Linked DNA regions of Rattus norvegicus. The protein of the gene in region 1 purifies or fractionates together with the protein of each later gene. This does not show direct contact. Links are inferred from orthologs where the notes say so. Each region holds a gene or a part of one and is shown on either strand. Other genes may lie near its edges.

The links. Proteins that work in one complex are often made in the same cells at the same time.
Region 2: the proteins of Smarcc2 (region 1) and Bcl7a purify together in Homo sapiens (affinity purification with mass spectrometry; 4 studies listed by BioGRID and IntAct, counting the BioPlex papers as one, with this or other methods). This does not show direct contact. The link is inferred for Rattus norvegicus from reciprocal best matches to the Homo sapiens genes SMARCC2 and BCL7A.
Region 3: the proteins of Smarcc2 (region 1) and Dpf2 purify together in Homo sapiens (affinity purification with mass spectrometry; 8 studies listed by BioGRID and IntAct, counting the BioPlex papers as one, with this or other methods). This does not show direct contact. The link is inferred for Rattus norvegicus from reciprocal best matches to the Homo sapiens genes SMARCC2 and DPF2.
Region 4: the proteins of Smarcc2 (region 1) and Ss18 purify together in Homo sapiens (affinity purification with mass spectrometry; 3 studies listed by BioGRID and IntAct, counting the BioPlex papers as one, with this or other methods). This does not show direct contact. The link is inferred for Rattus norvegicus from reciprocal best matches to the Homo sapiens genes SMARCC2 and SS18.
Region 5: the proteins of Smarcc2 (region 1) and Tbl1xr1 fractionate together in Homo sapiens (co-fractionation; 3 studies listed by BioGRID, with this or other methods). This does not show direct contact. The link is inferred for Rattus norvegicus from reciprocal best matches to the Homo sapiens genes SMARCC2 and TBL1XR1.

Annotation. Positions count from the first base shown.
Region 1 is NC_086025.1:1,490,268-1,494,442, reverse strand, and holds the end of Smarcc2 (SWI/SNF related, matrix associated, actin dependent regulator of chromatin, subfamily c, member 2), read right to left. Parts: coding exon 4,069-4,175; intron 2,663-4,068; coding exon 2,266-2,662; intron 1,964-2,265; coding exon 1,544-1,963; intron 1,005-1,543; coding exon 928-1,004; 3' UTR 566-927; downstream 1-565. UniProt on the Homo sapiens protein: Involved in transcriptional activation and repression of select genes by chromatin remodeling (alteration of DNA-nucleosome topology).
Region 2 is NC_086030.1:38,901,939-38,906,372, forward strand, and holds the start of Bcl7a (B-cell CLL/lymphoma 7 protein family member A), read right to left. Parts: upstream 2,833-4,434; 5' UTR 2,695-2,832; coding exon 2,603-2,694; intron 1-2,602.
Region 3 is NC_086019.1:212,625,458-212,630,009, reverse strand, and holds the start of Dpf2 (zinc finger protein ubi-d4), read left to right. Parts: upstream 1-1,720; 5' UTR 1,721-1,771; coding exon 1,772-1,803; intron 1,804-2,111; exon of another isoform or gene 2,112-2,263; intron 2,264-4,552. UniProt on the Homo sapiens protein: Plays an active role in transcriptional regulation by binding modified histones H3 and H4. Is a negative regulator of myeloid differentiation of hematopoietic progenitor cells. Might also have a role in the development and maturation of lymphoid cells.
Region 4 is NC_086036.1:6,107,082-6,111,544, forward strand, and holds the start of Ss18 (protein SSXT), read right to left. Parts: upstream 2,833-4,463; 5' UTR 2,781-2,832; coding exon 2,712-2,780; intron 1-2,711. UniProt on the Homo sapiens protein: Appears to function synergistically with RBM14 as a transcriptional coactivator. Isoform 1 and isoform 2 function in nuclear receptor coactivation. Isoform 1 and isoform 2 function in general transcriptional coactivation.
Region 5 is NC_086020.1:106,729,263-106,733,496, forward strand, and holds the start of Tbl1xr1 (F-box-like/WD repeat-containing protein TBL1XR1), read left to right. Parts: upstream 1-1,402; 5' UTR 1,403-1,516; intron 1,517-4,234. UniProt on the Homo sapiens protein: F-box-like protein involved in the recruitment of the ubiquitin/19S proteasome complex to nuclear receptor-regulated transcription units. Plays an essential role in transcription activation mediated by nuclear receptors.

The DNA.
Region 1 (4,175 bases):
GCTGCGCTGCTCCCAAATCTTTGTCCTCATTTGGGGAACTCCTAGCTATCACTGGGTTCTGTCAGGCTTGCTGAGGGCAGAAGTTAGCAGACTGTCCCACTGTCAAAAGTAGGTGCTTAAGTGCTTTTCAAAACTCAAGGGTTGCAGACTCCCCATCCTCTTAGAGCTCCACCTTTGTTTGATGCCTGTTGGGCACTCAAGATACAACCAGGAAAGCAGGAAGAAGAGCCCACCTGAGGCCCCTTCTTCCTCTATTACCTACCACAGAATCCCTGCAAACTACATTTCCCACAAGTACACAGACGCTGACAGTGAGCAGGTGACTTAAAAACAACACGAGGCTGACACTCAGAGGGGAAGGTCATTGGCTGAGCTGGGCCTAACAGCCACAATGACAAGCAGCAGGAGGGATTAGTTTGATAAAGTGGAATGGGTGAGGGGCTGACTCAGCACTGCCAAGGGGCTCAGACAGGCTTGGTGCCCTGTTCCATCTCCACAGCCTGCCCCAAAACTTAATTCCTCTTAAAACGTTCCCTTTCCCCTCAAAAATAAAAATAAAAAGTTCTTTTTTGTGGTCTCAGATGTGTCTTTTTAAAACCTCCCTTTTAAAGGGTTTCATTTTCATGTTATCACTTCAAAACTGCAGTAATTCTGAAGGTACACCCTCAGAACCAGTAATAGAACCTTGAATAAACATCCTTCCCTCCTATCCTCTCTCCCAGGCATTAGAAACATCTTAGAAGTCCGTGGATAATATTGGATATAAAACTGCACACCTCTGCTGGGCATGTGGGGTGGTGAAGGGGCAGGAGCTTTCCTTACGTAGTGATGAACTCTCCAGGCTGAGGGAGGGTCCCAGTTGTGGGGGAGGGTGGTTCCTGGACTGTGATCTCCATGGGGAGTGAGGGGAGATAGCTGGCTGGTTCCTCACTGTGGGGGTGGCACAGGGGTGACTGTGCCTGGGCTCGGAGCTGTGGGGTCTGGAGGCAGCGGGGTGCCTGGGTCTGTGGAGAAAAGGAAGGTAAGTGAGCTGGAGCCTGCAGAGGGATGGCTGCAGTCCCAGGCTACACACACACACACACACACACACACACACACACACACACACACACACAGACCCAGGCATGGCATGCAGGGGTGGGTGGATGAATGAGGTACCCACTATGTATAATTTCTTCTTCCTAACACTCTTCTCTACCTGACACTGGGAACTCCTTATTCCCCAGACCATCCTCCTCTCCCTAAGGACTCTAAGTGGAGCATCTGCATGTGGTGGAAACAAGCAAAGGGCAGCCATCGCCATGCAGACGGTGGCCAGGCTCCAGGTTTACAGCTGAGGTCGTCCTCTGAGCCACTGGGCTCCTCCACGACCCACCAGTGAAAGGCCCCGTCAACCCAGAGGTGACAGCTGCCAAGTTGGGAAACGGAGGACTGCCAAGAGGCCTTTCTTCCTCCCGTGCTCTAGCCCTTTCCTTCCTGGCCTCCCTCCCACAGTGTAGAGCCCTCCCTCTCCCTCACCCTTCCCCTCCCGGCCCCTTCTCACCTGGCAGTGGGCTGGCACTGGGCAGGAGGCTGCCCTGAACAGCAGCCACAATGGCAGGGCTCTGGGCTGCGGCCGATCCGAGCCCCGGCCCGAGAGGCAAGGAAGATGGCATGGTGGTGGTCGCCGGCAGGTTAGGATGTAGAGGGTTCGCCATGGACACAGGCAGGTTAGGTGGGGGGATAGTGCCCGGGGCAAACGGGAGATGGTGGTGACCATGCAGGTTAGGAGGGGGAAGGTTAATACTAATGGAGTCGGCTAGACTACCGAATGGGATGATGGATGGAGCAGCAGGGGGAGGAAGCGGCAAGCCGAAAGGCAAACCCAAAGGAGCATTACCCGCCACGCCTGGGTGCCCGCTGCCTGGCACTGCCCCTGGCATCATTGAGGGAGGAGTTTGTTGGTTGGGGAACGGTGAGGGGCCTAGAAATGAAGAGAACACAGGGTGAGGGACTGGAACCTTGCTCAGCACCCGCTGCACAGCCACCGCTGGTGCCACCCCCTTGTACTGAGACTAGAATAAGCAGGAGATTCTTGGAATGAAACTCCACCAGGTATCTGTTTGGAACACATCCCTGCTAGTTGGGGGACATAGTACAATGGAGCCCACCTGTAGGACCTGCAAGAAACTTTTACATCCGAGTCATCAGGTGGGTGTCCCTTCAGAGGGACCAGAACATCTGCCCATCTCTACAGCAAACAAGTACTCTGGAACGCACACTCACCATGGGGTCCAGGGGGGGGTACCCCTGGTGGGACTGCCCCAGGCTGAGGGGCTCCAGCTTGTTGTGGCTGCTGTGGCCCTGCAGTTGTCCCTGCCTGCCCGATCTGTTCAGAAGGGCCCAAGGTTCCTGGAGGGGCCCCACCGCCAGGAGGAGCGGAGGCCACACTGGCTGGAGCTACAGCTAGACCGTGGACTGTCGCGGGTGCCGCGGCCCCGGTGGGGGGGATGGGCTGGGAGCCTGGGGGCAGGGCTGGCGGCGGCGGTGGCGGCGGCGGCGGCGGCGGCTGCTGCTGCATCTGCTGGAAGTGTTGCTGCCGCGCCCTCATCTCTGCATACTTCAGCTGCTCCATGTGGAAGGCTTGCCGGTCGGCCAGGAGCTGCTGCCTCTGATATTCCAGCTGCCGGTACCAGTGGGAACTGTTACCGGGTACCAGAAGACGTGGGCAAACTCCCTGACCCACTTCTTCTTTTGAAAGAGCCTAATCTCATGCTAGTGTTTCCCCAAGACTCAACCATGTGCTTCCTCTGCCCTCCCAGGGACGGAGACCATTGACATTGCTCCTCGCTGCGCTGCAGGAGAGGTAATCCGCTGTGGTTCCGGTTCACTTCATTTCAAAACTCTGAACTTGTTATTATTCTGATTTGAAAATGCCTCGAGCTCCTGTCAATTCAAGTTCTTTCCTTCCTTCAAAATCAGCTACAAACTTAATTATTTGTTAGGGAGACACTTCGCTGGCCTCTGAATTTTGACTTTATTCTGATTCTCCCAGAATTAATTTTATTTTTATACGTTTATTGGTTTTTCAAAACTGGGTTTCTCTATGTGGACCTGGTTGTCCTGGAACTCATTCTGCAGACCAGGCTGGCCTTGAACTCACAGAGAGCCACTTGCCTCTGCCTCCTGAGTACTGGGATTAAATCTCTTATTTTAAAAAGTTATTTTTGGGGTGCTGGAGAGATGGCTCAGCAGTTAAGAGCACTGACTGCTCTTCCAGAGGTCCTGAGTTCAATTCCCAGCAACCACATGGTGGCTCACAACCATCTGTAATGGGATCTGATGCCCTCTTCTGGTGTGTCTGAAGATAGCGACAGTGTGAATATACAGTGAATATACAAAAAATAAACAAATCTTTAAGAAAAAGTTATTTTAATGATGGATATGTCTGTCTGTCTGTCTGTGTAAGGGCATGTGCATGTGAGTGCGGGTGCCCATGAGAAACCCCTAGGGCTGACGTAGGTTCTCTAGAACAGCAATCTGTTCTCAATCGCAAGCTACTCCACTAGGACATCTCCGAATCTGAATTTTCCGGTAGTTTAAGGATCTCCATGTTGTATATTTGATGTTTCTAAGAGCAGGGTCCCCATGCTGTATTTCTTTTTCAGTCCTCTCTTTTTTTTTTTTTCCCCCCTCCGGAGCTGAGGATCGAACCCAGGGCCTTGCGCTTGCTAGGCAAGCACTCTACCACTGAGCTAAATCCCCAACCCCTTCAGCCCTCTCAAAGAAACTGAATCAATATTGTCTGTCTGTTCTGTCTATTTCCCAAATTTACCTGCCGGGTCTCTTACTATCTCTCAAATCCACTCAGTCACTCAGGTTTGTGAGAACCTAGTGAGAGGCAAGCACCGGTGGAGGACCTAGAGGTGCAGCGGCCAGAAAGCATGACTAGCATCCCACCTATGGATCTCAACCTCTGGGCTGCCTGCCTTTCTCCCGGCTGTGCCACCTGTGTCTGACTCAGCACTTCTGAGCTCATCTTCTGGCAGGTTCTAGGCTCCTGTTGACACCTGACTGCGTGTCACTCACCGCTTCTCGCTCCCGGTCCATTATCGTCTCCAGTTCCTCAAAATGTCGGAGTTTGATCTCTAGTTTCTTCATCTGGGTCTCCACCAACAGAGCCACCAAAGACTTGA
Region 2 (4,434 bases), on another chromosome or scaffold:
TTTCATTTTTGCCTTTTTTTTTGAGACAAGCTTGAATGTAGACCAGGCTAGCCCAGAACTCAGTATGTAGCTGAGGCTATCCTTGAACTCCTGATTCTCCTGCCTCTACAAGTGCTAAGGTTATAGGCATACATCACTATACGGGGGAGGGGGGACTTTTTTTTTTTTAAATCACTTTGTTATTTTTCTGAAATTCAAATTTACCTGGGTGTTCTGTATTTTCCTTTGCTAATTATGGCAGCCCCATGCCTTAGCCAGTGGTGAAATGCATGGTTGGTGCCCACAGTTAATAAACAACCCCAAAGCCTTCAGGGTTGATTGCAACACTGTTGTACAGACAGGCCAAGACCAGATCCCGTGACTCAAGGAAGCCCCCTGCATTTCTGTGTAAGATGGGGACGGGAAGCAGATCCAAATTTCTACAAAAGTCCACCTTACATAAGGGCGTTTACAAGGGCCCCTGTGTACTCCAGTGACTCCACCTGACTAGCCAGTCCTAGGCAGTTCTGGAAGGGGAAGGGGCACCGAGTCCCCTAGTTGACAGCAGCAAGGAACTTGAGTTTCATGCTTTGCCCAAGGTCACAGCTAGGAAGAGAAGTAGAAACTCGAGCAGGAGATCCCAAAAAGCCTGAAGTCTTTAGAGGTCATGATGCACTACGGGGAAGAAGGCGGCCACATCCCCCGCTGCACTCCCAGGCTCCGCAGGCTGTGAACCCGCTGGGATGGAAGAAGTCTCCAGGCCTGCTGCTCTGGGGCCCGCAGGGTGGAAAGCCCCATCCCTCCATCTGCCCGCCCTGCAGAGCAGCTGGCAGACCCAGCGGCAGCTGTCACAGCTCCAGGACCAGAAAGGCAGCTTACACCGGCCAGCCTGCCGCTTTCTACCGTCCAGGCCGGTGACAGACAGAAGGGACGCTTGCTCTGATATCAGTTCTCTACCACCCCAGCCTTCCCTTGAGAGTCCCACAGGAGAGGGTCCGTTACTGTGCTGTTTTCCTGTGTTTTGGCCTGCAGCTGTTTCTGCCATTTTTAAATGGCTCCAGTTGGGCACTAGTCGCCCTGCTCAGCAGGGGAGCTCCCGGCACCCAGGACTTGGATCTCAACTTTGGAAAGCCTCCCCTTCTCACGGTTGTGAAAATTCTTTGTCCCATTGGAGCCAAACCCAGCCCACGGCGGGCATCCGGCCATCCGCAGACAGCCCTTTCCATAGGAGGCCCGGGAGCACGTGGACTTTATTGATTTTTTTCCTTGCCTTTTTTGTTGGGTTTCACTCTGAAAGGACAGCTAACTTGTGACACCATCAAGCCGGAGACAGGCACCCCCAGAAGTGTTTAAAAAAAAAAAGACAACAACAACAGAGGCGTGACTCAAGAAATGAAACCCCCCCAAAATAACAGCCTGCAGTGGGGCCTGGCCAGTTCCTATAAAGGACAGGTCCAGCCAGCAGCCGCTGACACTTGGGGACACCCTCGCAGCTGCTCCTCTCCCGCTCGGACCCAGATGAAGCCGTGGGAAAAAAAAAAAAACGTAATAAAGTTAAAATCAGGGAGCAGGGAGTTTTCAACAAGTCTGACCCAACCTGGTGGTGGACTACTGGAGCCTCAGGCCTGGTCTCTGGGGCCGCCTCGGAGTCAGATCCCGACGAGGGCCGTGAAAATGTTCCATCCTACTAATTATAACGAGGCCACGCCGGGCACGATCTAATTTGAGCTCGAAAAACACGCACGGCCCACACCGAATCTCCCGGTCCCCTCCTCCTCCCCCAGTGCAGAGAACAAAAACAACGGTCGCTCGCTCTCTCCGCAAAACAAACACCAGCTCCAGCTAGAAGAAGGCAAGACACGGCCCAGGACTTGGCTTCTGGCTGCAAACATCGCGTTCCCCAAGCTCCGGGTGCCGCGCGGAGCGCGTGGGAGCCGTGGGTGCTCCGCGCCCGGGCCGCGCCACCGCCTTCCTAGCGCTCGCCCCCATCTTCCTTCCTCGCCCGGAGCCCTCGCTCCAGGCTGCCCAAAGCGCTAAATTTAAACGGCTCGCGCTCTGCAAACTCCGCAGACTCGAGGGCGCCGAGGCCTGGGAGGCGGGGAGCTGCGGGCGGGTCGGGGCGTAGGGTGAGAGTGTGTGTGCGTATGTGTGTGTGTGTTGGGGGGACACCGGCGCCGCGCCGCCCCGGGAGGAGACGGCGGCCCGCTCCGCGCTGCACAATGGAGCTCGCGCTCTGCCCGCCGCCGCCGGCATCACGGCCCCGGCGCGCGGGAAGCCGCTTTCATGTGACTTGCACAAAAAAACGAAATGGCTTCTGGGGCCGGCTGCGAACCCCCCTCTCCCGAGAGCCGAGCTCGGAGCTCCGGGCTCCGGGCTGCAGCCGCCACCGCCACCGCCACTGCCTCCGCCGCCGCGCCAGGTGGGCGACCGGCGCCAAGCACACCTGGGCAGCGGACGCAGCCCCCGCGGGGCGCAGGTGACCCCGGCCGCGCGCCCTCGCCAACTCCGGGCCCGGGGCCGCTGCGCCCCGCCGCTCTGCGCGCTGGGTCCCGGCTTGCTGGCGGCCGCGATGCGGTGCAGCGAGCCGGGGAGAGCTAGAGAGCGAGCAGGCGCCTCGGCTTACCATTTGCGCACTTTCTCGATAGCCGCCATGACCCTCTTGATATCATCTTTGGCCCGGCTCCTGGTCTCGGCTCGAACCGACCTGCCCGACATGGTTCTAGCGGGGAGGGAGAGAGAGGAGAGAGAGGCTGGGGGAGCGCGCCCGCCGGGTCCTGCTCGCCACACTCGCCCGCTCTCTCACTCGCGCACAGACACACACTCACACACATACGCGCACACACAAAGCCTGGTGCCGCCGCGCGCCCGGGGCCCAGTGCGCAAGCGCCGGGCGGCAGCTGCACAGAGCGAGGGGGAGCGGCGCGGCCGCCAGCAGTGCGGCCTCCGGGCGCCGCCGCCCACCCCGGGGAGCCTCGGGGACCTCGCCCTGGGAAGCTATCTTGGGTGACCCCGACCTCCCAGCACGCGGGACGGCCCCGCGACCGGACTCACCCAGAGGCCGCAGGTGCGATTGGGGGCCTCTCCGTCCAAGACACACACCCTGGGGATGGCAGACTGCAGGCCGTGGGTGCTCTGGCTCGGGTTGGTGGCCGCGGGCGCGATCGTGCAAGTTTCTTGTCGGGCGCTTGAGTTCTCGGAGTTGGAGGCTGCGGTTTGGGACGCGAGGTGATCTTAGAAAGAGTTGAGGCGCCGGTCTCTGGCCAGCTGCCTTGTTAAAATGTGCGAGCTAGAAAGTCGCTTCCCCATGCTTAAACTACAGTCCTAGGAAAGGTGCTGGAGCCCGGTGGCAATTGACATTGTCGCAGGACTTTCTTTCCCGTAGAGATAAGTTGTCCCAGTCACGGATCAACCTCCTTGGGGTTTTCTGAAAATGACAATTTAATCTGAAACGGCTCCTAGTAGAAGTGCAGTGTATTGGCCCGGAGCAGCAAGTAAACCGGACTGGTCCAACACAGAAGGACTTTCTTTTGAGGAACTGTCTTCCTACCCTAGGACCGAGCTGCGTGGCAGAATGTACCGCGGTCAACCAGGATAGGGACAGGTGGGTGTGCAGTTGCGGCTAGACAGACTGGACCAGAGCGAATGCTCGTCCAGGTGGATGCTGGGACAAGAGATGACCTAAAATGAGCATTGATGCCAACATCAGCCCTTTCATAAATGGGGAAACTGAGTCAAGGGGTGATTCAAGGTTGCAGCCGTGAACTTCATCTGCGACTGCTGTGATTCTAGTACCCAGCACCCCCCCTGAAGTTTGGGGTGCTGCAGGGGTTTGGTAGAGGGAACTAGTGGGGAGATGGGGGTGAGAATCTGTGGGATCTTCCCCAGGCTTATCTTTTAACCACTTTAAACACAGGATCCTAATGCGGAAAAAATTAAAATATGGAGGTTGGGGATTTAGCTCAGTGGTAGAGCGCTTGCCTAGCAAGCGCAAGGCCCTGGGTTCAGTCCCCAGCTCCGAAAAAAAGAAAAAAGAAAAAAATTAAAATATGAACGGTCAGGCCTGGTAGCCCAGTCCTTTAACTCCAGCACTCCTGAGGCAGAAGCAGGCAGATCTCTGTGAGTTCAAGGCCAGCCTGGTTTATGGACGTAGTTCTAGGACTAACTAACCAGGACTACATAGTGAGACGCTGTCTCAAATCCAAAATCGAAAAACAAAAAAAAAACAGTCGAGCCAGGCAGTGGTGGTGCACGCCTTTAATACCAATACTTGGGAGGCAGAAGCAAGCAGATGTCGATGTGTTCAAGGTCAGCCTGGTCTACATAGCAGTGAGTCCCAGGACAGCCAGGGCTACAAAGACAAACTCTACCAAAACAAAACAAATAAATAACAACAACATACACACACACACCACAAATATGTCAAAGAACCATTTTTATCATGGTTGAAAACTGTGC
Region 3 (4,552 bases), on another chromosome or scaffold:
CAGAAGCAGGTGGATCTTTGTGAGTTTGAAGCTAACCTGGTCTACATAGTGAGTTCAGGTACAGCCAGGGCTATGTAGACAGACCCTCTTTCTTTTTTCTTTCTTTCTTTCTTTTTTTTTTTTCTTTTTTTCGGAGCTGGGGACTGAACCCAGGGCCTTGCGTTTGCTAGGCAAGTGCTCTACCACTGAGCTAAATCCCCAACCCCGACCCTCTTTCAAAAAACAAAAACAAATACAAATTTTAAAAGCCAGTGTACTGGGGTTGGGGATTTGGCTCAGTGGTAGAGCGCTTGCCTAGCAAGCGCAAGGCCCTGGGTTCGGTCCCCAGCTCCGAAAAAAAAAAAGAAAAAAAAAAAGCCAGTGTACTGTAGGAACACTTGACATTGTTAGCTGTCCATTAAACACTTGTGTGTACTTTGGGACTTCCTTTTGATTGTGGTATAGTTGAAGGTATGGTGCCTAGACAAGCTAAGGAGGGAAGGTCCTTCTATTTCTAGCTACCTCAGTGTAAGGAGGTGCCTGAGGTCAATGAGTTCAAAGCTTCAGGTTACCACTCTGACACAGGAGTTCCATGTATGGCTGGTGTCTGTCCCAGAACCCAAGGCAATAATGTCCTCTACCTGTGGCTCCTCTAGCTTCAGCTCAGGTCTCGGGTGAGACTGCATGAGTAAGAATGTAAGAAAGGTGCCTCTCTTTTACCCTACCCCACCCCGCCAGGAGAGAAGCTACACCAGCACTGAGGCTGCAGGAAAGTGAGAGAATACAGACTCTGCCAGGGCCTGCCGTTAATACTGCATACAGCTGGTAGCCATGTGTAAGCTTTGGGGATCTGTGTGGTTTCAATATGGTTGGCCCAGGGAGTGGCCTTGTTGGGGGAGGTGTGTCACTGTGGGGGTAGGCTTGGAGAGACCTTCCTCCTAGCTACCTAGAAGCCAGTCTTCTCCTGTTTGTCTTCTGAAGAAGATGTCGAACTCTCAGCTCCTCCAGAGCCATGCCTACCTGAATGCCATGATGATAATGGATTGAACCTCTAAAACTATAAGCCAGCCCCAATTAAATACTGTGCTTTATACGAGTTGCCTTGGTCATAGTATCTCTCCACAGGCGTGGAAACCCTAAGATAGGGTTCCATTGAGCCAGGGTGTCAAGAAGTAGGTCAAAAGAACTGTGGGATCCTGGAGTTGGAGTTACAGACAGTTCTGAGCCTCTATGTAGTGTAAGCTTAGGTTTTTCAAAGCCTACTTTATTTAGGGTTCTTAAATGCTTCAACCTCCCTTTTAGCCCACCGACGAGAGGTAGGGAAAAAGGCAGATTAATAGGCAAAGGGGGTTGCGGACAGAGGTACCTAAAGGACTGGGTACCTCCCTGACCTTTCCAATCCTTCCCTGTGAGTCAATCATGTGTCTAACGGTCAGCTAGGCAGGACACTGTTGCTCCTTCTAGCTCATCTGCCTGGCCTATTCACTTACCTTTCTCACTTTCCAACCAAGCCTTCCTGAGGCTCTACTAAATGGAGGGGAGACAGATCTCCAGAATGAGCTGCAGAGGGCGCATAGTTTTCCAATCGCGCCTGCGCATCGGGATCCCCTAGGCTCCAGGTCGGGTCGTTTTTTTTTTTTTTTTTTAGCGCTCGCCCTCGTGAGCCTGTGCGTGCGCGCACCCTCGGGCTGCGCCTGCGCAGAGGATCGAGGACCGTGTGTCCTGAGAAGGCTTAGCGCCTGCGCGTTGCGGGCTTCGGGGCCTCCCGGCCTGAGGGAGAGGAACTGGGAAGATGGCGGCTGTGGTGGAGAATGTAGTGAAGCTGTGAGTGGTCTTCTTTTTTCTTTTTCTTTTTAAAAATCTCTCCTGTACAGGAAATCTTGTAATGGGGCCTGGGAGTAGAGAGGGAAGTGCGGGAAGAGAAAAGACAGAGAGAAGGACATGCCCGGGAAGTCCTTGCTGTGCGACTGCTGGTAGGGAGGGCAACAGGAGACTCTGGAGAAGGCGCTGGGCTTCTTTTGGAAACTTGTGGAGACCGGGAGGGGGGCACACTAGAGTCCCCGACGAGCGTCCTTCTCGCGGGCCGAGCCCCGAGCGGAGCTGCGGACTGCGAACGAGAGGCTCACGGTCCCTGGCCCCTCAGTCCCGTCGCGCTGAGGCCGGCGGCCCTGGGAGATCGGGGTCCCCTCTCCGCCCACCGCCCTCCCTGGGACTACAGGCTCCGCCGTACCTGCTGGGATCCTAAGATTTAAGCAGCCCGGTGACATTAACCGGGAAATCCGGGGTACACGAAACTAAAACTGTTCTTGGGAAGAATTGTTCCAAGAGCAGATACAGAAGGGAAAGAACTTCTGGGAGTGGGCAACTAGACCGGAACCAGACGGCCTTCTGGTCCGCAGGAGCCCCGAAGTGGGCGTTCTCTGTACCCTAGATGCCATTGTGCGGGTCAGATTTCGAGCAGAGCTGAAGTTAACGGTTGTTGGGAAACACTGGGAACGGGGACTGGCCTGTTAGCCGCTTCCCCCGAGTTAGAGGTGTTTGGGGTTTTGATGAGTCTCCTCCTTCCTTCTTGAAGAAGAATCGAGAGTTTTGGAACGGGGTTAAAAATGCCCGTTGGGCTTAAGAATGGCCTTTTCTTCCTTTAATGGCCATGTTGGGCGTGATGTAAGAATAGAAAAATGGAAGTGTTCAGGTGTCCAGTCAAAGCTTTTGGATTCTGGATGGCAAAGTAATGGTTTAGGAACTATTCTGGAGGACTTTTCGCAGCTTCATCTGTCTTTGTCGTGGGCTGAGCCCCCATAGTCCCAAGAGGCTTTTTTTTTTAAGGTTAAGTTGCTTCTCCCCCGCTGCTTGGAGCCCTTTTCTTCGAGAATGCTTTCCCACCTCCATTAAGCTAAGTGCCTTCTCTTGTGGCTTTTTTTTTTTTTTTTTTTTTTTTTTTACTTGCTTTTGGCTTCATCCTGCTGCCTCTTTCAACCACCCCTCCTCCCAACACTATTATCCTTATGATCTGCCCCCTCCGGCTTCCCCAGCCCTCTTTAGGCTGACATTTCCCTTAATTTAGAAATGAAGCTGTTAATTTAACATTTTTATGGTTCTCCTTCTAGACTCAGCTGTTAGGTCTTTGTTACTCTGCCTTTCTTTGTTGACCTCCCCTATTCCTGGTGGAAGGGGAGTTGTCCTGTGCCCCCACTCCTACCCCACAGGTTTCCTGTGAAAAGAGGAGCCACAGCTTTTACCCTGGAAATCTTACTTTCTAGAAGAACGTGTTGCCTAGGTTTTCAGAATTACATGTTAATGGAGCTCTTCATATTGAAAGATGGTCTTGCGGAGAATGGAGTTGCCAACCCATTGGTGTAGTATTTTAAGTGTTGGTTCCCATTTAAATAGAGCAGTGCTGTTCCTGCCTCTTTAACCAGTCAATGGTTCCTAGTGTCAGCGAGGTACTGAGTTGATTCTTCCCATTTCTAGGTGCAGAAGACTAGACATCACTAACACGTACCTCACAGAACTTTCCCTTTATAGAGAAGACTTTGATTCTCACACCATTCTCACTTTGGAAAGATGCCTTTCTGATACTTTCTTTTTTATTATAGTGTGCTTAAGTCTTCTGGCAGCTGACATCACTCATTGAGGGAAAGACCACTAGTTCATCTTTTTCTTTGATTTTTGCCTTGTGAGAAGACTTTGTCTTAATTTTCTGCTTTTCTCAAATACATTATCATGGTTGACATAGTCTTTAGAGTATAGAGTAAATACTAGTCTAAAAAATAACCATGACTACCAACTAGTTTTTAAAACTTTATATGAGTTATATAAGGCTATCTGTAGAATAACAGAAGCTTGAAATTTTTTGCTACAGAGTCTTGAATTCATGTATTCTCCCCTTTGCTGCTCTCTTCACACACACACGCACACGCACATGGGCACACATACATGTACATAATTTCTTCTGGCCATTTCTCCTACTAGAGCACTTGCTTCACCTTCTAGAATCTTACCTGACCTGCAGGAGCCGATTGGACATTCCAGTCATTCCTCCAGGCCTTCTTCAGCCTCTGTGCTTTGACTTTGCAGTCTTCAGCCCCACTGGGCTGGTCCTTCCTTCCGTTTGACTTCCAGTGTCAGCATCAATTCCATCAGCAGAAACAAAGGAGCTGCTGCAGTCAGCCTTGTTTATCGGTTTTTCCTGTGTGGTAAGGACAAGGCTGCCTCCTAAAGGCGAGCAAATGTGAGCCTGCTCTCTTCTGTGCTGTGCGCTCCAACACATTCATACCTTAATTATAGTTATTACTGCTCACTGAATCAACTCAGGCTGTACTTGTAGTGTTGCTGTGTGTGTGTTTTTATTAAGCTATGCAGTGGTCTCCTGTGACTGCTCAGTGAAAGTCCCTATCAGATCCTACGTTAGTGCTTGTCCATACAGCTTTAGTTGTAGGTATTGGCCACTGAGACTGAGACCTTCTCCCTCTTGCTTTTCATGCCTCCTTATCCCTACTATCTCCATCAGAATCCTGGCAGGCCAGAGATCATCTAATCTAACTGCCCCAATCTATAGGAGAGGAATGGAGGT
Region 4 (4,463 bases), on another chromosome or scaffold:
TATGTTGGCTCCCTACCTCAATTACTTCCTTTGAAACTCAGAAGGGAAAGTAGGTGTTTCTTTTGACTTATTTTATCATTTGTGTGTGTATGTGTGTGTGTGTGTGTGTGTGTGTGTGTGTGTGTGTGTGTGTTCAATCCTCGATGAGCCCCCCTTCTCTCTCTCTCTCTCTCTCTCTCTCTCTCTCTCTCTCTCCACACACACACACACACACACACACACACACACAACACAAAGTGCCATGGTGTGAAGTCAGAGGCAACTCTGTGACACTGGTTCTGTCCTTGAACCCAGCTGAGCCATCCTCTGGGCCATTGATTTGGGGTGTTTTGTTTTGTTTTGTTTTAAACAGAAACATTTAATTACCACGTTGAAAAGTTGACTCCCAGTTGATCTTGGAGCATCTCATGCTCTGTGGGGTGAAGGAGAAAATGTGTTCTTCTCCAGAAGGAAAAAAAGAGGCACAGGAGCACTGCTGTCCAAGGGACCTGAGGTAACTGCCTAGCTTCTTTTCTAACTGTATGGACTCACGAGTCTCCAAGATGACTACGGCAATGATCTCTATGCTGCATATTATTTAATAGAATTTTAGTTTGTAACATAAAATGAGGTACCTCAGAAAGTTTAAAACCACAAGATACATCAATGATCTTTTTTTTTAATCAATGATCATTTTATTATAACAATCTAAGCAACCTCAGTTTGGGGTGTTGAAAACCTACACAGAGTCCCTAGCATAGCACCCGAGTTTGTAGGAGCTTAAGACTGGGGAACAGGCATCCTGAGCTGTTCCACCTTCCATAATTTAATGCGTAACCAGCGGACAACACCAAAAGTATTTAATGTGATTTTCAATTAAAAACAAGATCCAGGGGCTGGAGAGATGGCTCAGTGGTTAAGAGCACTGACTCTTTTTCCAGAGGTCCTGAGTTCAAATCCCAGCAACCACATGGTGGCTAGAGGCCATCTGTGATGGGATCTGATGCCCTCTTCTGGTGTGCATGAGGACAGGGGCAGTGTGCTCATATACACAAAATAAATAAATCTTAAAAAAAAAAAAAACAAGATCCAGTTACCATTAATTGATATTTCCTGCACATTTATCGTAATCTTCTATTGTTAAGAGCAAATGTTTTTCTAAAGTGTGTTTCTTAAATATAATAACTAAATAAAAAAAATCATTTTGTTGTTCTTGATTGCTGTTGTTACTGTTTTTGTTGTTTTTCGAGATAGGGTGTAGCCTTGGCTGCCCTGGAACTAACCCTGTAGACCAGGCTAGCTTAAGATCTGACTGCCCCTGCCTTCCAAGTGTCAGCAACTCAATACTCAACCAAGGAACTCACAACACATTAAACAACCCCAACCATCTGTCTCCCATCTAAACAAAGCTTGAACTGGAATACTTTTGGGAGGCTGGAGAAATGGTTTAGAGGACAAGAGCACTTAATGTTTTTACTGAGAACCTGGGTTTGGTTTCCAGCACCCACAAGGAGACTGGTAACTGCGATTTCAGAGAATCTAATGTTTCTTCTGACCTTCCCAATATGTACACGCACATGACGTACACAGACGCATAAATAACAAAGGAATTTTAATCCATTTTTCACCTTTCATCGTTGAATGAAAAATAAGCAGTTAGCACCCAGATCAACCACTCACGATAAGCAACTAACAGACTTATACAAGAAAAAATTCTACTGAGAAAAATAAAAACGCCAGACTTGAGTTCAGAAGGAATCCCTTAAGCAACATGCTTTCTGCACGTGTGTGCTTAAAGAAAGCTGCTCACAAGACTACAGGCTCAACCTGGCACACTAGAGAAACCAACTGCGTTTCCAGGCACTGCCAGGCGGGTTTCTTCAAAGAAATTAAAGCAACAGTTGGGCAAATGTCAAATGCCACACTACAGAGAACCTGACAGTAAACAGAAACCGATGGCCTTAACCCACAGGTCTGCGAGGGTGCCCCATCAGTATTACAGGTAGACTTGCTCGCCTTAACCTTACTCCAAGGCAGGGAACAAAATGTTAATACTCGGGGCAAACTACTAAACTTAACAGGCGACTTTCTAAAGTCTACAACACTGAGATCTAGAATAGTGCATTGCTTTTAGACACAGGCTCAGAGAATAATAAAGAACCTTTGTGTCCCCAATTGGCAGTCCCGGAACGGCGACTGGGTGGCACGCTCTGAGGACTCAGCTCCCAGCGCTTCTATCGTGACTTCATGCAAACCGCCCGCCCGTCGGTGTAGATGGCCAACAGCGCCCGGCCGGAGAGAGCAGGCTCGCCCTCCGGAACCCTAGCGCCCGCCCTGCGCGCTCAGGCACATCTATCTGCGGCAGACCGGAACAGACCCCGGGTGCGTCCCCGAGCCCCCGGCTCCTTCCCCGCCAGCCCCGAGCCATTGCGGAAGGTTCCCAAGTTGTCCTGAGAGGGCCTCAACTCCGAGGAGTTTGCGGCGCGGCACTCTGCGTTCCGGCTTCCGCGACTAGGGTCCCGGCGGGGCGGGGCGACGCCGGAGTCTCGGGCGCCACTCCCCTCCCGGCCCCGCGACGCAAGGCCACCGGGCCGGCAGAGAAATCCGGCGGCGGTTGCCGGCGCTTTTGTGCGGGCAGAGCAGGCGCCAAAGGGCTCCGTCGGGAAGCGGGCGTCAGCCCGCCCCCACGCCATCCCGCCTCGGGCCGCGTCCGGGCGCCTCTCCCAGCTCACCTTCTGGATGGCGGCGGGCGTGATCTCGCCCTTGCCCCGCTGCCTCGGGGCTGCGAACGCCACAGACATATTGCCGCCGAGCCCGCGATCAGCGAGTCCCGAGCGCTCCGGGGGCCGCGGAGCTGGGGGCCCGACGCCCGCCTCCGGGCAGTCCCACCTTAGCGCGCGCGGTGGGGGAGGATGCTCCGGGGTCGCGTGCCTCGCTGGCCAGCTCGGCCTTAACGCGGGGCTGCAGCTCCCAGAAAAGTATTTGAGAAGCTCACTGTCGCCGGTGTGGCTCGAGCCCAGGTTTCCGCCGTGGTCCGCCTCGCTGTCCCCGCGCGCTCTCCAGCCGCACCCCCGCGTCCCTGCGCTGATGGTAGCGCCGCGCCGGCCGCCTCCGCCCGGACGCTCAGGAAATGGTCCCGCCACGACGGGAGGGAGCGGCTGGGCCGCGCTGTCACAGGAAACACGGGGCCCGCCTGCTACACTAACCCCTAACTGCGCCCTCGACCCCCCTGGGGAAGAGGCTCGCCCAGGCCGCAGCCCAGAGGAAAAGAGGACAGTCGGGACTCAGGAGCGCCTACCGGGTCAGCACAGAGAACGCCGATTCGCTAGTTTAAATGGCTCCCAGAGCTCCACGTGCGCACCTTGGAGTGCACGCTCGCCAAGTCTAGCCTAACCGAAAAAAAAACCCGGGACTCAAAGTTGGCCTAGAAATACACCCTCCTCACACTTGTGGATCTACTTGATCTGACTTGGGGCCTTTGGAACGAAGCTGTGAAAACCCACCCTCTTCTCCAGTTAAATACTTGGTGCTTAATTAGGCCCAGACTTCAAGTCAGTATGAGGGGAATAAAGCCAACAGCTGCAAATTAAAAAGGAACACGTTGCTGCGGGTTAATTCTGCAACCGTAGACTTCCCAGTCGCACAAAAGGGAAGTGTATGTGAATCATTACTCAACATCACTGATGCACAAAAATTAGTGTCTAGCCGGGTGATGGGGGTGCTCGTCTTTAATCTCAGCACACAGGAAGCAGAGGCAAGCTGATTTCTGAGTTCAAGACCAGTCTGGCCTACAGAGTGAGTTCCAGGACAGAGCTACATTGAGGGACACTGTCTCACAAAAACAAAAAATTAGTACCCAAATTATTAATAAAGTAAAAAGTAAACATATTTTTTAATGTTATTCCAAATAAATTTCACAGGTCAGTTTAATTTATTCAGCAGTTCTCGGTGTCTGTGCCCTATATGGGTGGTAGAACTGACCAACTGCACCGGAATCTCTCAAAGATTTCATGCCGTCATATAGAAAAGATATACACAAAGTAAACAAAACCAAATATGCATGTAAGTCAAGTTTAACAATGAGCAAACAAGGTCAGAACTACAGGCTACTCGTGTGACTTAAGTTGGGAATTCTCCACTAGATTTAAAGAAATCTAAAGGGTGAAGACTAGGCTTTCAAGATGGCTCATCTGGTAAAGGTGCTTTGTGGCCAAGCCCGACATCCGTGGGTCCAACAGGGTGGAAGGAGAGAAACAACTCAGTCGAGTTTTATTCTGACCTCCACATGTGGTTCCTCTGCCCTGTGCAGGTGAAAAATTGCAACACACACACAGACACACAGACACAATAAAGGATGAAGACTCAGGCCATTCTAAGAACAAAGGATGGAACCTTCTCTCTCCCCATACCATGGTAACTGTTCTTGGGAATTAACTTGTTGCCTTTCACTATTCTAAACGTAAGGAATACACTGTGATACAAAT
Region 5 (4,234 bases), on another chromosome or scaffold:
CATTTTCTGTACTTCTCCTGTTTGTTTGTCCCCCTCCCCCAGGTTTGGTTATATTTTCCCCCTGTATCTCCACCTCTTACCTTACTTCCCAACTTCATGTTTATTTGCTCGTGCTCCCCCCTCCCTCTTTCTCTCTCTCTCAAGTCACCTTTTTTTTTCTTACCCTAATTAGTCCAATTTCTGCTGCTCCTATACACATTGGTGTGGGGTCAGCCAGTGGAGCATTGCTGATCTACCCTTAGATAAAACTGGCTCTCCCTCTCCCAGAAGCCATCAACTGTCATTATCAGCTTTTAGGGGTGGGGGCTAATTAGCCCTTCTATACTGGAATATTGACTGGTTTTGATAATTATGCAAGTCTTACACAGGCAACCACAGCAGCGGAGAATTTGTGAGGGCATCAGTCCTTTCGTGTTTAGAGACACTGTTTAGTATAGTCCTGCTGAACCTCTGGTTCTCGCAGTCTTTCCCTACCCACTCATTCTTGATGCTCCCTGAACTTTGGGGACCCATAGATGGCTGAATACTCCACAGATCTGTATTCTGACCATTCGTGTATTAACTATCCTCCACTGCGCAAAGATGCTGTCTCCTAAGGTCTGAGTGCTGCACTAATGTGTGGGTACGGATATTTATCTAGAGCTAGTTTGATATTATATTCATTTAGCAATGTAATAGTATTTTCACCCCTGGTTTAGAAGCCATGGGTTCTTGGCCAACCTTAGAGTACCAGATAGAAGTTTCTTCCTGTGGAACTGGCCCTAGAACCAATTAAAGGAAAACAAGAAAAGAAAAAAGCCCCTGGCTACCCTTGTAACATAATGTGCCACTACTGTACCTCTAGGGACATCCTAACCCCGCTAGTTATTACTACAGCTCATGGGGTTCACAGTGAGACTGTTGAAGATGTTTCTTCTCCAGCAGCCTGGGTAACAACTGGCGGTACTATGACAGTGAGCAAGCAGGCAGAAGGCTTCCAGTCACCAGCTTCATTTCTCCATGGCCTATGACCATTCTTTTTAAACCTATAAATTGATTATAATATTTAATACTATTATTAATTCAGTGAAGTTGGGAACTGTGGATTTGAGATAATATAGAATATACTTTTCAATGTTTATGAGTTTAGAATCAGTATTCAGGATAGGAAGAAAGAAAGTTGACATTCTGAACTCAGACAAATCAATTATGATCATATTTATTGTTCCATGCCCATGACATTCTTCCGTAGCCCAGGCTAGTCCTGAGCTCATCTTCTTACCTCAGCTTCCTGAGTGTTGGCATCATAGGTGGGTCAGTGTGCCTGGCTTTTTCCTTAAGTCTTGTGTTGGGGTCCGTGAGCTGTCACTTTTTTCTAGACTAGATGTCTGCAGACACGTCCTTGATGCAGTTGTCTGTTTGTGACCAGGTAGGGCCTTCCTGAGGACACTTGTCTTACCAGTGTTTCACCAGGAGCTCCTGGTGAAGTACAAACTGCACTCTGTTCGTACTGAATTGGTGAGGCTTTCCAAATGATGTGTGCGGTTTCTGGTCCTTCCAGACCCTTGTCTCTTTGAAGGCCGTATAAGCCCAGAAAAGAGGGTGGCCTAGCAGTTCAACTCATTGTGTTCAAAGTATAAGATTATCCGAATCTGCTCGGGTGTCTGGTTTTGTAGGTTGGGCCACCTCTAGAATCTTTTTTGGGAGGTGAGGGGTTAGGATAAGCTGTTAAAACAAGAAATATTCCCACAACTGAGGTAAGGAAGACTTGGACCTGAGGTTAGTAGTTATAGCTGATTGAGTCATTGACTGGTCTGCCATGTTGGTTCCCTGTTCTTTGTAATCTGGTTCCCTGCTAAACCATTTCTCTTTGGTTCTGGTCTTTTTGTGAGCTCTTGGAGCACCATATACCTTAGGTGGCCCACCCTTTCACTGTGGTGTACACGTAGGGCTTTGAGGCTGTGCAGTGCACAAATTATTAATTCTGTTTCCTGCTAGCCCTTGAGTCACTTGCTGTGTCATGTAAGGAACTTTACTTTCTTCTCTGGTCTGTGTCGAATGTTGATTGATGGCAGAGTTCCTTCATTCATGATTATGAGTTGCAACAAAACAGATAGAAGAGAAAAGAGGATCAGAGTTGGGAGAAATAGAAGTAGCTCCCACAGTTGTGAGCTGGCCACATCCTTAGCTACTGATACAAACTTCCTAGATAATCCGAAACTTGGGCTCCTGGAGATGTGGGAGTAGAGGAATGTGTGGGGTGAGGAGCTAAGTGAGCTGTCAGGATCTGGCGTTTTCAAATCATACGTCAGAAGGGAACATCTTGATTATTTCTTCAGAACCAGATCTGCATTTGAGGAAACAGGGCTTCCAGTCTACGAATGAACTAAAGTGATTGCCACAATACTTCATTGATATTTTCAAAGAATTAGAAATTCACCAGTAAATTTTAAATTAGGAAGGATATTGCAATGAGAAGTCTGTGCTGACACTTTGCCCTGGTGGAAGTCAGGAGGGGTTAGTTCCTTTGGGCTCTTCCTTTTGTACCCTTTAGGTGGGTAATTGACCCCTTGTAGCTGTGCTCTGCTTGCTTGTGGATGTGCTTTTGCACTTGGCAGTTCTCAGTCTCTTTCCTTTTTGGGTCAGCTCTTGTGCAGAGCAGGCTGTGGTGCTTCATGACTCCTTTGTCTTTCTTGGGTTCCTTTGTCAGATGACGAGTGTACTGTTATCTTTAAGCAAACATTATGATGTTGGCCAGTGAGGTAAGTTTGCTTACCTCCAAGACTCATCGTAGTCTGAGTTGAGTCTGTAGGACTCACATGTTGAATGAGAGAAACAACTTCTCGAAGTTGTCCTCTGACCTGCCCTTGTGCATGGTGGGCAGCACTCCGTGCCCACATGCCCATATGACATCACACTTACGTGTACATGCTGTAACTTAATGGCTGTGGTGTGAAGCTGCCTGAGGGTTGAGTTGTCATGTGGTAGTAGGATGGACGCTGCTGAGTTCAGGAATAAAGGAAAGCTTAGACTCATTTACTTTACTCACTTCCTTTCCTTGCAAAATACTGCATATTTGTTATGGGTTTAAGTAGAGTGGAAATTTGAGGACAAGCTCAAAAGAATGGTTCAGGGTGTGGAAAACAGGGAAATTCTGTGGCGTTAAGGAGACAGCTGCTCTGGCTTCTGCACCCTCCCTCTCCTCGTTCTTATTTTGCCTGAGGAGGAACAGTAGAGCAACTCAGGAGGTTACTAAATTCTTCCTTTTCAGGGGTACACCCTCCCCCCTTTTCATTTTTGGGAGAGAGCCCCATACTATAGTCCTGCTGGCCTGGAAAATGATACGTAGACTAGTTTGGCCTTAAATTTGTAGTTAAGTCCCTGTCTTAGCATCGGCCTCCCTGGTGCTAGGGTGACTCTAAGGGATCCAGGCTTTTTGTCTTACTGCAATTCTGATATTCTGTTCAAGTCTTGTCCAGCAGTCAAACAGTGGTTTTATTTTTCTACCTGAAATTAAACATTTTTCTCCTGAGAAATTAGCCACTAAAATTTTTACTAGTGTTTTAATTTGGATTGTTAATTTTGGTAATGTTTGTTTTAAAGTTGTGTAAGGGTCCATGATTCGGCAAAGAATGATACCCTGAACTCTCAATAGTATGTAAATGCAGAGTGTTTTTTTTTTTTTTTTTTTTTCTACAGAAGTCCAGCATGCTGGGCTCTCCCATTACCAGAATAGAGCTTTTATGCCTGATTTAAAGCACATTAGGGCATTCCGGGTTTGGTGACCCTTATGTTAATCTGTTGGGTCCCATCTCTAAGGACATTCTCTTGGGGACTGTGGGGGCTGTAAACTTGCTGGGGGAAGTCTGGAAATGCTGCTGACCCATTGTCCTTGCCTCAGGCCAGGTGGTAGGGCAGCTTCTGAGGCCTGGGGTTGCCTGGAATTGCCCAGTTCTTGGATACAAATTTAGGCCTAGCCGCCTGAACTGCCAGTTTGAAGCCTGTCATGGAATCAGCCTAGTCTCCTTAGTTGTATGGGTTTTGAGTGCCCCATTTTTCTGTTTTAAATTCCTGTTGTCTTCAGCATTTGATTTTACGTAAATTGAAATTTTCCACCAGTCGGAGTTTGAGAATATGTAGCAGAAACACCTTCATGTGCTGCTGTGTGGCACTGTGGAGATGTTTGTTGACATTTGTTGCCTTCCTTTTCTATTTCCTCAAACTGGCCACAGTCTGTAATCTCAATAAGGCAGAG